Diceros bicornis minor: one gene and its partner. The protein of the gene in region 2 binds, or shares a complex with, the protein of the main gene of each other region. Links are inferred from orthologs where the notes say so. Each region holds a gene or a part of one and is shown on either strand. Other genes may lie near its edges.

What was found. Proteins that work in one complex are often made in the same cells at the same time.
Region 1: POLR1B (region 2) and TAF1A share a complex: the UniProt entries of both Homo sapiens proteins name them as parts of the pol I pre-initiation complex. The link is inferred for Diceros bicornis minor from reciprocal best matches to the Homo sapiens genes POLR1B and TAF1A.

What each region holds. Positions count from the first base shown.
Region 1 is NC_080777.1:10,819,475-10,827,497, forward strand, and holds the start of TAF1A (TATA box-binding protein-associated factor RNA polymerase I subunit A), read left to right. Parts: upstream 1-5,000; 5' UTR 5,001-5,059; coding exon 5,060-5,089; intron 5,090-5,623; exon of another isoform or gene 5,624-5,694; intron 5,695-6,186; exon of another isoform or gene 6,187-6,237; coding exon 6,238-6,370; intron 6,371-8,023. Other genes in the region: putative G antigen family E member 3, read left to right, coding at 4,116-4,496. UniProt on the Homo sapiens protein: Component of the transcription factor SL1/TIF-IB complex, which is involved in the assembly of the PIC (pre-initiation complex) during RNA polymerase I-dependent transcription.
Region 2 is NC_080779.1:19,273,899-19,280,868, reverse strand, and holds the start of POLR1B (DNA-directed RNA polymerase I subunit RPA2), read right to left. Parts: upstream 3,003-6,970; 5' UTR 2,971-3,002; coding exon 2,794-2,970; intron 1-2,793. UniProt on the Homo sapiens protein: Catalytic core component of RNA polymerase I (Pol I), a DNA-dependent RNA polymerase which synthesizes ribosomal RNA precursors using the four ribonucleoside triphosphates as substrates.

The DNA of each region.
Region 1 (8,023 bases), on a different chromosome or scaffold from region 2:
TGCTAAAAGAAATTCTTTGGGATGAAAGGAGATGATGGCACATTCAATGGAAACTTAAATCTATAGTGTTTTAGTCATCCCTTACTATGTAATAAAGCTAATGGTTTAAAATGATAATAATTTATTATTTCTCTTAATACTGTGCCTTCGCTGGACTTAACTGGGTGGTTCATGAGTGCACGTGGCTGCATTCAGCTGGGAGCTTGGCCAGGGCTGAAACTTCCAAAATAGCTTCATTCACGTGTCTGGTGGCTCAGTTGTGGTGGCTGAAATGGCTAGGATGGGCCTCTCTCTCTCCAAACATTTGTCATCACAGGCATACCTCGGAGATATTGTGGGCTCAGTTCCAGACCACCACAATAAAGCGAATATTGCAATAAAGCGAGTCACACAAAGTTTTTGGTTTCTCAGTGCATATAAAAGTTATGTTTACACTATACTGTAGTCTATTAAGTGTGCAATAGCATTATGTTTAAAAAAATGTACATACCTTAATAAAAAAAATACTTTATTGCTAAAAAATGTTAACCATCATCTGAGCCTTCAGTGAGTCATAATCTTTTTACTGGTGGAGGGTCTCGTAAAAAATGCAATATTTGCAAAACACAATAAAGCAAAGTGCAGTAAAATGAGGTATGCCTGTATTCAGTAATCTAGCCTAAACTTACTTTCTTCTTGGCTGGATTCCTAGAGGATAAAAGTGGAAAGTGCAAGACTTCTTAAGTCCTAGTCTTAGAACTGGCATGGCATCACTTTTGCCATATTTTGTGCATCAAGTCAAATGACTAGCCCAGATTCAAGGGGTGAGACAACAGACTCTACTTCTTAATGGGAAAAGCAACACGCATGTACACGAGTGGGGAGAATTCCTGGCAGCTATTTTTGAAGATAATTTACTGGAAGGAATGAAAGGTACTGGAAACGGTAAAGCATAGGTAAATATAAAAGGCAATATATATTTTTCTTCTCTGAATTTCTTTAAAATACATATAACTGTTTAAAGCAAAAATAACAATGTATGTAGATATAATATAGATGACAATAAAGCACGAATGACTTGGGGGTGGTGGTAAATGGAATTATACTGTGGTAAGGCTCCTTTATTTTATGTGAAGTATCACAATTTTAACTCCAAGTAGACTGTGATAATTTAAGAATGCATATCATAATTCCTAGAAACACTGCTAAAACAATAATGCAAAGAGATATAGCTAAAAGCTAACAGAGGAATTAAAACGGAATACCAAAACATTTGATTAATCCCAAAAATGGCAGGAAGTGAAGAATAGAGGAACAAAAAACTAATGGGACAAATTGGAAACAAATAGAAAAATGATAGACTTAAATTCAAAAATATCAATTATTATAATTCATATAAATGAATAAAACACACCAATTAAAAGATAGTGATTGTCAGATTGGATTAAAAATATGTGGCTCCAACTAATTATTGTCAACAAGGGAAGTACATTAAATAAAAAACACAGATAGGTTGAAAGTAGAAAAATGGAAAAAGATATACCCCACAAACAGTAAGCTGAGAACATGGCTGTGACTATATTAATATCAAACAAACTCATTCAAGATAAAGAGTTTTATCAGAGATATAAAGGATATTTATAATGATAAAATGGTTATTTCATCAGGAAGATATAAGAACCACAAATGTTTGTGTGTTCAATAACAAAGCTTCAAAATATGTGAAGGAAAGCTGACAAAACTAAAGAAAGAGACAAATTCACAAACATAGTTTGCCATTTTAACACGCCTACCTCAGTAATTAATAGTAAGTGTTCATACGGTGATATGAAAAATCAGTAACAATGCAGAAGATCTGAACAAAACTAACAACCACCTTAACCTCATTGACATTGGTAAAACATGACACTCAACAGCTGTAGAACACACATTCTTTTCTAGTGTCCACGGAACATTTACCAAAATAGACTATACTTTGGGCAATAAAGTAAGTCTCTGAAATTTTTAAAATCTTGACATCTCACAGAGTTTGTTTTCTGACTGCAGCATAAATAAACTGGTAATGTCTAACAAGATCGACTGATGAAGAAAAAAAGATGGAAGATGCAAATGATCAATTCAGTGTTTCAGTTTTCTATTGCTGTGTAACAAACTACTCCAAAATTTAGTGGCTTAGAACAACCACCATTTTGTTACTCACCATATTGTGAATCAGGAATTTGTACCGGGCTTGGTGAGAATAGTTTACCTCTGCCCCTGTGTTGTCAACTGTACTCACTTATGCGGCTGCATTTAGCCAGTGACTGATTTGGGAGACAAGATCTGAGAAGGACTTCCTCACACATGTGGAATTAAGATGCTGACTGTCCTCTTCATGTGGCATCTCTCTGTGTGGTGTTTCATCCTCCAGGGACTCTTTTTTCCTGCAGCCTCTCTCTCCCCAGTAGGATAGCCTGGACTTCTTTGCAGAGTAGCTCAGGGCACCAAACGGGCAAAAAAAATGAAGTTGTACCTTTGAGGCCATAGTTTTTCCTCAAGTCTGGGGTGGGGTCCTAGTCCACGTATTTGGGGGAGTTTATAGTTGGATAATATTTTTCTCTATATTGTTATGTGACCTGTTTTGTTCTTATGCTTTCATTTTGCCATATTCCTTTTTTATCTTGTTCATATTATTAGCTGTGATATAGTATAGTCTACTTACGATGATGTCTTTCCAATTGTTTGGTTGTCTGAAGCTTGTTCTCTATTAGACTGCAGGGAATCTAATAAAGGGTTTATGGGAATAATTGAAGGGTTCATGGGAATAATATTCTCTAAATAACAGTTTGCAGTTTTTTTAAAAAACGTAATTCAACATCATATTAAGTTACTCTTTAGCACAATGCAATTGTAAGAACATCTTTGTTCCTTAGGATATGTTTTCTTCTAGATCAGAGTCTAGAAAGTCTTCTGCATGCATTGTTTTATGTTTGCATTTTTGTCAGACTATTTCCTTTTTTTAAATCTTATTTATGCTATTCCATGTGATATAGTATAATCATTTTCTTTTTACTCTCTTCTCCCTAACGCACTTTTTACCAGAATTGTACCATGGAAAAGAGAAGAGGTAGGTAGAGCATATAAAGATATTAGTTCTTAACTTTCTCTCTTTAGATTTATCTACCATTGCCCACAGTTGCCTGAGAACGTTAAGGTAAATCAGAAATTTCTTCCCCATTTTTGTGAGAGCATGAATTTCTAGCCACATAAAATCAGTTCTGGATTGGTTTTGGTGAAATCACACCTCATACCTTCCCATAGCAAGGCGAGCAATGTGCCCAGATCAAACCTCTAGACTAGAAGCTTATGGCTGTTATTTTGTGTGTGTGCCCTCCTGGACATTATCATTTAGGTCAGCCTTGCCTGTGGAATTAGAGTACAGGCTTGAGTGAGGCCAAGGACTTATGACACAAGGATCAGCCAAAGGAATTTTTCCTGCAAGCCCATAGCTACTGCATAGTATTTATCAAGACAACATAGAATCAAGTATTTGCAGCATTTTAAGGAGTCGCTGTACAAACTTTTATTAGACCCTTTAATCTCCTCTACAACACTCTGATTCTGCTCAAATGGTTCACTTTCAGGGTAGAGGAAATCCAAAGATTCATGTGGGAGCCTGTGCCGTTATTTGCGCAGCCTTATTTACGAACAAAATTCTTGTAATGACTTTACGCTGTTTCCCTTTAACTTTACCTACTTAGTCCTAGTTCTATTCTCTGATTCTATGAAAAAATAGTCTTACCCTTCTTTCACAGATCAACTCCACAAATTTTGGAGATACATATTATGTTCGCATGTGTCTCTGCTTTCCCAGGATCATCTTTCCTAGACCTCCTCAACTTGCCCTCATTTCACATTTAATCATCTTACTTTCGACTCCTATTTCACAGAAGTTTGGCAATTCGTTATGAAAAGTCACCCCACACGGATCCACGGAACCATCCCCCGAGAAGGAAAAAGGTATGCTTGTCCAAATTTTGGGCAGGCAGTCAGAGTCACTTAAATTCAAAGCTAGCTTTTCTTCTGTGCCAGTCGCTGTGCCAGGGGAGGTCATGTTCCTGCCATCTTGATTCTTTCTCGCTGGCTGAAACTCAGCCATGGGAAATATGAGTTGGCATGTAAGAACAAGATCCAAAGCTGCAGGAAGAAAACATGATCGAGAGTCTTCTCAGCCAGTTGAACCTGTGGTTGCTCAGCAGCCCAGTGATGAACAACCTCAACTAGAGGAACCACCAACTGAGAGTCAGGATATTATACCTGCTCAGGACATTGATGATGAAGGAGCACCTTCAGTTCACGGGCCTGATGTGGAAACTGATCAACAGGAACTGACCCTGTTGAAGACTGTGGATGAGCCTGGAGAAGGTCCTGATGTCGAGGAAGAGATTCTACCACATCTAGAGCCCATTAAAATGCCAGAAGCAGGTAAAGGACAACCACAAATTTTCAAGCATGCTGTCCTTACGGTGGAAATTTGAGAGTTAATCTCTGAATAAAGTTTTACAACTTTCTTCAAATAAAAAAAAATTCAAAGCTAAAACTTTAATAAAAGAGAAAAAACATTTCAAGGAAGCAGTTAGGCTATGTAACGATTTATCTTGTCAGGACCGCCAGCCACGCCTCCGAGGCTCGCGCAGTGCAACCCTGAGCCAAGCAGGAACGGAAAGGTCATCGTACAGTGAATTACTCGGGTAAAGTGACATTCTGCTTTTTTGACCATTCCTCTCTTCCAGGTGCCCTCACTCCCATCTTCATTTGCAGTTAAACTCTCCTATTTTGCGGCTGCGACAGACTAAGTCACAAACCTGGAGCCATCCCAAAGCGAGGGCGACAGTCAACGGTCACTTCCGGGTCACTTCCGGGGTCGAGGCGCGGACAGCCACGCCTCCACCGCGGAAGGAGGAGTTAGGGGCGGGGCTGCGTCTGCGCACCGCAGGGACGCCCGAGGCAGATTTTGCGCATGCTCACGGGAAGCACTCGCTAACTTCGCTTCCGGGGAAGGGTTCCTCACGTTGCTTCTGGAGTCGGGACCTAGAGTTTAATGTTACAGAAGAGCTCCGGCTTTAGGCAGGTAAGTGCATTCACAGTGGAACGGGAAGGGCTGTGCTAGGATTCACCTGTGTTCCTTCTGCTATCTTCTCTTGATGCTCTGAAACCTCGAGGTCCGAGAACTGGGCAGAAGGGGTGGAGAAGCTTTGGTTACCGTGGCAACCGCGTGACATCAATTTAGTCTTTGAGACTTTGGGAAGGGAGAGCTCCTTATGGAACGACGTCTTAAAATACATGTGGGTCGGTTGCAGATTCAGGTGTTATTTCAAGCCCACGCTCCTAACCCTAGCATTTGATTTTAAAAGGTTTACGTGGCTGTAATGTGGAGAAGCAAAATTCGAAGCAGGGTAACCAGAGAGAAAGCTAAAGCAGTAATCTAGACCCAGTTTGAAGGTGTCCTGAACTGGGGTAGTGACGTAGGATTGCGGAGAAGAGGGAAGACTGGAGAAGTGCTAGCAGGTAGTATCAGCAGGACCTCGTAATCCATTGGATATGGGGCCCTGAGTATCTTGAGGATCAAGTCCAGACTCAGCTTGGAAAATGGCTGTCTTTCTAGATTCCTTTCCCGCCGTCAGTTCTGCCTTCTGCCGCCTCCTCCACGCAGACCCCAGACTCTATTCATGCCAGGTAGTTTCGTGTTCTAGTTCCTATAATATTGTTCTCTCCTTTCTTGTGACGGTGGACCAGGTCACATAATTTCACTAATCTCTCAGTTTTTTCGACATGAAAATGGAAGAAAATAATAGTACTTTCCTTAGGATTTCTGTAAGGATTAAATTAGATAATTTATATGCCTGGTGTGTAGAACAGGCCCAATAAATGTTAACTCCTATTATTATTATTGGACTTACTTGTCCTATTATTTTGTTATTATGCGTCATTTTGCGTCATTTTGCTCTAGACTTGAGTATTTTTTTAATTAAAAGGTTAGTATCTATCTTTGTATGTTCTTGAAATATAATAGTAGTTAAGTTTTTTTTTTTTTGAATGGATCATTATTTTTGGCTGTAGCTGACATAATTAAATTGGTTTTTTTCTTCGAGGGAACTACTAGGTACAGTTAATTTTGTTAATCAAATGATATTTATTAGGTAAAAAGATGGTTTTTTTTTCCTGTAGAACTCAGAAGCCTGTGGATTAAGATGTACAGAGAGTAATTGATATTCTCAGTTTGGAATAGGTATGAGTGATTTCAGTGAAGAATTGATAAAGTCTGTAACAGAGGATGACCGGCGGGAAACCTGTGAGCTCTCCGGTACAGGAATGCAACTTCCTTGGCTCCAAAAGCATATAGAAACTGTGGGTAAGTAAAATAACATATAACCGTTTTAACTTGAACGCGCGGAGATGATGAGATTCAGTATGGTTACAAAAATGAATAACTAAGCTGGTTCAGTTTTCAAGATAGGAATATATGAGGTTTTTTTAAGGCTGTAAGCAAAAAAGAAATCATAAAAATATGCTTCTTTTTTTTCAGAATTCTTCTCCTTTGAATTAAGAACAGATAGTCTGTATTATGGTAGATACACATTCTTTTTTCCAGCAGTACTTACTGAGCACTTATGTCCCTGGCATTGGCTAAATATTTGAGATACATGGATGAAGAAGATATGGTCTCTGCCATTGAGGAGTACATACCTAGGAGGTGTTTTCAAGAAGTTTCTGTTGAACTGCATTGAAATAATTCCTAATAGAATTCATGTATAATATGTTTCAAAAAAAGAAATTTTCCCCCATTTTCATCTAATGTAAATAGAAGCAAGTTTTTCTATGGGATCAACTCCCTATCTGAATATATAAAAGAAGCAGTTATCTGTATGTTGGCATTTTGGGTGGTGTAGTCCTAGGAATACATGTGAACCAGCACTTTTCTTATTAGCCTCAAATACATCTTCTTAGTCTAGCCTTCTTTCCCCTTGACTGAGATTCCTTGGCTCCTAGAATTTAGCTCCTTTATCTTCTTCTTTCAACTAAGTATCATCTCATTTTATTATCTCAGTAAATTAATCCTCAGTAAATCTATGTGCTAGGCCATTTTGGAGATGAGGAAACTGAATCTCAGCGAAGTTAAACTCTAAATGTTGGTACCAGGAGTCAAACCCAGGTCTATCTGATCTCAAAGGCTGAACTTTTAGTGACTGCGATATATAAAAAAATGGGATAATATATATAAAGTGCCTAGCACAGAGCCTTGTGTGTAGTGAGTGTTGAAAAAATAATGGTTTCTTTCTTCTCTTCTCATTTTATTTTTGCTATATTAATGCACATGGTTTAAGCCAGGTTTGAATGGATTGTACTTTAGAGAGAATAGTACTTCACTCCTTGTAGGGAAGTAGTAATCTAAAGTTCCTGCTAGTTAAGGCATCCCTGGGCTTGTTTCTGTCACCAGTGTCTACAGAGAGCTTGAGTCAGTCCAGAAGCAAATAGGTTAAAGACCAGAATTTACGTGCTTAGGAGTGTTTTGTAGATTATGGATAGCCTGTTAAACTCCAAATACTTTATGCCTGCAATGAGAAGATAGTTGCAGGTAATACTGGCATTGTAGTGATAATTAACCATAATAGGAAAACACAATTGCCTAACAATTATTTATTTTTTATTTTGATAGATACCTTTTGGCATTTGGAAGGATGTGCCCCCTAGAATAAAAACTTTGAAGACATGAGCGAGTTGGGAATCAAGCTGTATGTTGAGTACCTAGAATAGTGCTTGGTGCATGGTAGTGCTCAAAAAATATTTGAGACTGACCGACGAGTTTCCAGATTCTTTCAAGGGCATTAGAAATTAGGTTTATGACACCGTCTTTATTGTATTTCATTCCATCAAAATGTATTTTCCGGGGGCTGGCCCGGTGTCGTAGCGGTTGAGTTTGCACGCTCCGCCTCGGTGGCCCAGGGTTCACAGGTTTGGATCCTGGGCTCGGACTGACGCAATGCTTATCAAGCCATGCTGTGGC
Region 2 (6,970 bases):
CAGCACTCCAGCACTATACTTGAGGGCCATTTTAAACAGCAAAATCACCATCAAAAAGCACAAGAATGTGAAAAACTGAACAGACCTCAAAAAGGAGACCTATCTACAGTATAAGAGCTGGGAACGAGAAAGCAGAGCATCGCCTTGTTGGACCTCAGTTGGGACGTGTGCACTGGGTAACTCAAATTTTTCGCCACTCTGCACATGTTGGTGAGTACTGATTTTGGGTTACAAATACAATTTAGCAAGTAGGCAATGCACAGATATGGAATTCCAGAATAATGGGAATCAACTGTATTCTGAAAAGATGACTGTGACAGACATATCAACTTAGACTCACAGAATGGAGGAATCTACTCCAAAGAAAATATGATAGAGGCTGTTTTCCCCTTGCCTCTATAAATGTTAGTCACTTACCTTACTATGCTTTATAAGACAACATTTTCAAATCGTATTATGGTACCAGCTAAGCTGCAGTGTCAGGATTATCTGTGTGGGGCCCGATTTTCTCATGTACTTCAACCAAAACAACATACCGTAAGAGACTGAATGCAGAAGCAGATATGAGAATCCAGCTGTCTTCTAATAAGCCAGACATTTAAAAGATACACAAAAATATCCTTCATCTGCTAATTTCTTTTTTGCTTTAGAAAATATTTTTAATAAAAAAATAAATATATTATTGGTTTATTTTTAAATGAATTAGTATTTTTAAAATTTCTCAATTCTAATTTCTTTTTTTTTTTTTGAGGAAGATTGGCCTTGCACTAACATCTGTTGCCAATCTTCCTGTTTTTTCTTTTTTCTCCCCAGATCCCCAGTACACAGTTGTGTATCATAGTTGTAGAGTTGTAGTTCTTCTATATGGGACGCTGCCTCAGCATGGCTTGATGAGCAGTAAGCAGGTCCCTGCCCAGGATCCAAACCCGCAAACCCCAGGCCGCCAAAGCGGAACGCATGATCTTAACCACTACACCACCGGGCCGGCTCCAATTCTAATCTCTTATAGAGTAAATATTGATAAACAGAAGCTCTTTGGGATACCTCAAGAATCTAAAGAGTGGAAAGGAATCCTGGGACCAAAATGTTTGAGAACCGCTGGTCTATATATTACTCCTTCATAAAAACTCTCATGGACATGTACTCCTTTTTATGTGTGTATTTATTTATTTATGTATTTATTTATCTGAGGAAGATTGGCCCTGAGCTATCATGCTTGCCAATCTTCCTCCACTTTGTACGTGGGACACCGCCACAGCATGGCTTGATGAGCAGCGTGTAGGTCCATATCCGAACCCATGAACCCCCAGGCTGCCGAAATGGAGCATGTGAACTTAACCACTATGCCACCAGGCCGGCCCCACTCCGTTTTTATTTTCGAGTAAGCCCTCCTTCATCATCTCAATCTTGGACTCTTTTTTTCATTGTTTTAATAAACCTCAGTGCCAGTTAACTTTTAATTGGATATAATTTTTCTCATAGACAAGATACAATAGGAGTCCAGGCATGACATATGTATTTCCCACCAGTCCTGTCTTTTGCAAAAACATGAGGGAGTATTAATCTTCAAAGAAACCTCAGTGGCTCTCATATTATTCACAAAATAGAGTTCAAGTATTAGAGACTGGCAAAGCTCTCTCTCCACATTATCTCTATCCCTGTCTCTCACAACACAGATCCTACCCAACAAAACCACAGGACAGTGTCCCCTGAGCTCTGCTCCTTCACAGCCCCTGGAGAGAATGCACTCTCCTCCTCCCTTCAATTCATCTAACCCTGCCCTTTCTCAAAAACCTGGATTAGCTGCACTCCCTAGAGCTCCCCAAGTACCCTACACAACCCCTTGGCAGAGCAGTTCTCAAGAGCATTGGCAGTGACTACTATCATGTCCCCACCACCGCCGCCCCACTCCCAAAACATGATACCGAGCACTCAAAAGCAAGAACTGCGTCTTACACGGGACTGCCTCTTCCTCGCCCTCAGAGCCTGGTGCCTGGAGCCGCTGGGATGCTTACTAAATGAGTCCTTCCCCCACCATCCTCACTTGAACTCTGCTACCATTACCCTCTAGAGCAATAACTTACTGATGAGCAAATGTCACCTAACAACGCTATTGCACTTTCCTACTGAATCTCGCTGTTATGCCTCATTTTATCCTCCTAATCCCGCCTCATTCAGAACAGGTACCCAGTACTTTCTCCCTCGAAAGCTCTAAGAGAAGAAAACAGTGAAGGCTGACCTTACCCATCACAGTCTATCAACCAATAGGTTTCAGAACCTTTTGAGGTTTTGGATAGGTAAATCTTCAAGTGCTATAAAAAGCGAGTGCGGTCGTGCCTGGTTGTCGGAAGCACACCCCACACGGGCCAGTTCCACACGCACAGCACCCGTAAACCGCCCTACAAAACACCACGGTTCCCGAGCACACGCACATCCAGGAATCACAAATACATCTCCCCCTAGTCGACTCGACTCCAGGTGCCAGGGCCTACGCCCCGCGCTGAGCCTGGCACGAGGAAGGAGCACGACTGCTGGGGACAACACTGTGCCCTCGCGGCCATCCCTGTGGGACCTGTCGCCGGCCTGCGCCCTGCTCCGCCCAGGGCCCACTCAGCGCCGCCTCCCGGACCTCCCCGGCCCCGTCCCAGGCCGCGGGGCGCCCTCACCCCGCCCCGCGCCCCACACGCACCCCCTCCTGCAGCCCCGCCGCGCCCCTCGCCTCCGGCCGCCCGGGCTCCGCCGCGGCGCCGGCGAACGCAGGCCCGAGGGAGCCGGCGCGGACTCCGCGCTCACCTGCACCGCGTGGCCGAGCCCCTCGCGCACAGCGTGGTTGAAAGACTCGACGTGCGCCCGCGTCAGCTCCTGCAGCGCCGGGTGTTGCTGCTCCCGCGGGACCCCGTAAGAGGGGTCAGTCAAGTGCTTCAGGCTGGGCCCGCTGGGCAGGTTCCGCCACCGGCCGTCGGGATCCATGCGTCTGCCTGCGCACCGGCCGCCGGCGACCGCCCCGCGCGCGCGCGCCGGGAAGAGAGGCCGGCGACGCGGCGCCCACGGCCTGCCGGGAAATGTAGTTTGTCTAGTTCCGCCGGCCCTTGGCCCTTCGTCTTGATGGGGTCGACTTGGAACCAGAACCGTGGAGGGAACGGGCCGGTTTAAGACTGTGCAGAGCCAGCTCGCCGCCCCACCCACGCCCCCCTCGGCGAAGCATTCCTGAGGCGGAAGCCCGTTCCACCGCCCCTTCAGCGAGTGACCTCTTTGGCGCTCATTCGCCCAGTCCCTTAGGACCGGAGAGCAATCCTCGAAGATTCCCGTCTGTTCCCCGACCGCCCTCCGGATCCGATGCCGATATGACCCTGGGGAGACAGCCAGCGGGGGGCCGGCTCCGGGGAAAGAGCAGATGTTGCTGGGCACCGGGGGGCTCTGTCTGTGGTGGGAGATCAAGATTTGGCCACCCTGAAATCTATCTCTTTACCTTGATTGTTTTCTCTGAGGGACATTTGACCTCCCCCACTAACTGCCTAAAGAATTTGACATGGTGGCTCCTTCCTGGAACAGATCTTCTATCATGATGGCTGTAAAGATAATGTAGGATAGAGGTTACAACAGGAAAGGCACCAAGCCTCTTTTATCAAAAACTCTGTCTCTCCCTGACCACATTATCTATAGATGACCCTGAAAAGAATTGTCTTCCTGCCCTCTGAAGTCCCAGGCCACTACCCGCCCCCAACACGGTCCTCGCCTTTAGCTGCAATACTTAAGCAAGCAGCTGAGACAGAGGGACGAGTTGCTCATTTCTGAGTTTCTCCCATGTATACATGTTATTAAACTTGGTATTATTTTCTCTTGCTAACCTGTCTTGTTAATTATTTGGCCAGCCAGAAGAACCTTAAGGGAAAGGGCAGAGGGAGATTCTCCCTGTTCCCCCCACACTGTCCAGCCCTGAAGTCGTGACGGCTCATCACGCGACAGCCATGCAGCGGTCTGCCCTCACTGCCCCTCTCCCCAGACCCCCAGCGTCCTGCGGGGTGGGGAGGGGGATGGCGGGCCTTACAGCCTTCAGGGGCCTTACAGCCTCGAGAGCCTTTAAGTTTCCGAGTCCTATGAGTCAGTTATCGCCCCCCGTGTAGGGTTCATTAGGGAATGCCTGCAGATGTCTTTCAACTGCATCTTTTGTGTGTGTGTGTGTGTGTGTGTAACAGGTATATTCTGTATGGCAGTATAATTGACAGACAATAAACTGCACACATTTACATTGTACACGTTGATAATTTTGACCTGTATATACACCCATGAAGCCATCACCACAATGGCATTAATGAATTAATCCACCACTCCCAAAAGTGTCCTCCTGTCCCTTGGTAATCCCTCCCTCCCGTCAATTTCACCTGGGTCAGCTGGTAATTTTCATTCCTATATCACTTTTTTTTTAAGTTATCTCCTGTTTCTATCTCATGTTGACATCATCAAATCTACCAAGATTTGTGCAGCTGTAACCTAAATTCTGCCTTTGCTTCCTTTATAATGTCTTTGCTCCTTTTAAGGAAAACGCTTCCTTCATTCCCTCTCCCCTAGTCAAGGGCTCCTAGAAGGCAGGAGAATAAAGGGATTATCGGAGGAGCAGTCATTTCCATCAGCATACAAACTTGCTTGAAAAACTCTTAAAACAAAAAGAAGCAACTCGCTGATTCCTTGTCCCTTTCAGCTACCACACTATTTCTCTGCTCCCCTGTAGAACACAAGTCTTAAAAAGTTGGACCATCCTCACCATCTCCCCACTGTTTTCAAGGTTCATCCATGTTGCAGCATGTATCAGCACTTCATTCCTTTCACGGCTGAATAATAATCCCTTGTATGGTAATACCAAAGTTTGTTTACCTGTTTACCAGTAGATGGACATTTGGGTTGTTTCCGCCTTTAGCGATTAGGAATAATACTGCTATAAATATCCATACACAAGTCTTTGTATGGACATATGTTTTCAATTCTGTTAGGTATTATAGCTAGGAATGGAATTTCTGGGTTATATGGTAATTCCACGTTCAAGTTTTTGAGGCACTGCCAAACTGTTTTCCAAAGCAGTGGTACAATTTTACATTCCCACTAGCAATGTTTGAGGATTTCAATTTCTCCCTACCCTCACCAGTATTTGTTATTGTCCTTTGATTATATCCACCCTAATAAATGTAATTAGTATTTAATTGTGGTTTTAATTTGCATTTCTCTAATGATTAATGATGTTGAGCATCTTTTCATGTGTGGTTTTTTTTTTTTTGTGAGGAGGATCGGCCCTGAGCTAACATCTGCCAATCCTCCTCTTTTTGCTGAGGAAGACTGGCCCTGGGCTAACATCCGTGCCCATCTTCCTCCACTTTATATGGGACGCCGCCACAGCATGGCTTGCCAAGCGGTGCGTCAGTGCGTGCCCGGGATCTGAACCGGCGAACCCCGGGCCACCGCAGCAGAGCGCGCACCCAACCACTTGCGCCACCAGGCCGACCCCTTTTCATGTGTTTATTTGCCATTTGTATTTTTTTTTTTTTGAGAAATCTCTTTTTAGATACTTTGCCCATTTTAAAATTGGGTTGTCTTTTTATTGTTGAGTTGTAATAGTTCTTTATATATTCTATACCAGTCCTTATCAGATATATGATTTGCAAATATTTTCTCCCATTTTGTGGGTTTGTCTTTTACTTCCTTGATGGTGTCCTTTGCAGCACAAAAGTTTTTAATATTGATGAAGTCTATTTATTTTTTTCTTTTGTTGCTTGTGCTTTTGCTATCATATCTAAGAAATCATTGACTAATCCAAGATCATCAAGATTTATACGTATGTTTTCTTCTAAGAGTTTTTTAGTTTCAACTCTTACATTTAGGCCTTTGACCCATTTTGAGTTAATTTTTGTATATGGTGTGAGAAAGCCATCCAACTTCATTTCTTTGCATGTGGATATTCAGTTGTACTAGCATCATTAGTTGAAAAGACTATTTTTTCCCCCGTTGAATTGTCTTAGCCCCTTCTCAAAAATCAATTGACCACAGATATGAGGTCACATTTATTTCTGGACTCTCAATTCTATTCCCCTGATCTGTATGTCTATCCTTATGCCAATACCACACAGTCTTGATTAGTTTGGCTTTAGTGTAATAAATTTTGAAATCAGGAAGGGTAAGTCCTCCAACTTTGTTCTTCTTTTTTTCCAGGTTGCTTTGGCTATTCCTGGTCCTTTGTATTTCCATATGAATTTTAGGGTCAGCTTGTCAATTTCTGCAAAAAGGCAGCTGAGATTTTTGATAGAGATTGTGTTCAATCTGTAGATCAATCTGGGGCCTATTTTCATCTTAACAATAATTGTCTTCCAATCGATGAACATGAGATGTCTTTCCATTTATTTAGGTGTTTAATTTCTTTCAAAGATGATTTTTAGTTTTTGGTGTATAAATGAACTTCTTTTGTTAAAGTTATTCCTAAGTATTTAATTCTTTTTGATGCTGATATAAATGGAATTGTTTTCTTAAATTAATTTCCAAATTGTTCATTTGTAGTATATAGAAATACAATTGAGTTTTGGATATTGATCTTGTTTCTGGCAACCTTGCTGAACTCATTTATTAGATCTAATAGGTTTTGTAGATTCCTTAGGATTTTCTATATATAAGATGTTGTCATCTGCAAAATAGAAAGTTATATTCTTCCTTTCCAATCTAGATGCCCTTCTTTCCTTCCTCCCTTCCTTCCTCCCTCCCTCCCTTCCTTCCCTCTAACTGCTCTGTCTAGAACCTTTAGTACTAATGTTGAATAGAAGTGGCAAGAATGGACATATTTGTTTTGTGTCTGATATTAGGGAGAAAGATGTCAGTCTTTCACCATTAAATATGAAGTAGGCTATGGGTTTTTCCAACGATGCCTTTTATCAAGGTGAGCAAGTTCCCATTTTATTCCTAGTTTTTTGAGTGTTTTTACAAAGAAAGTGTT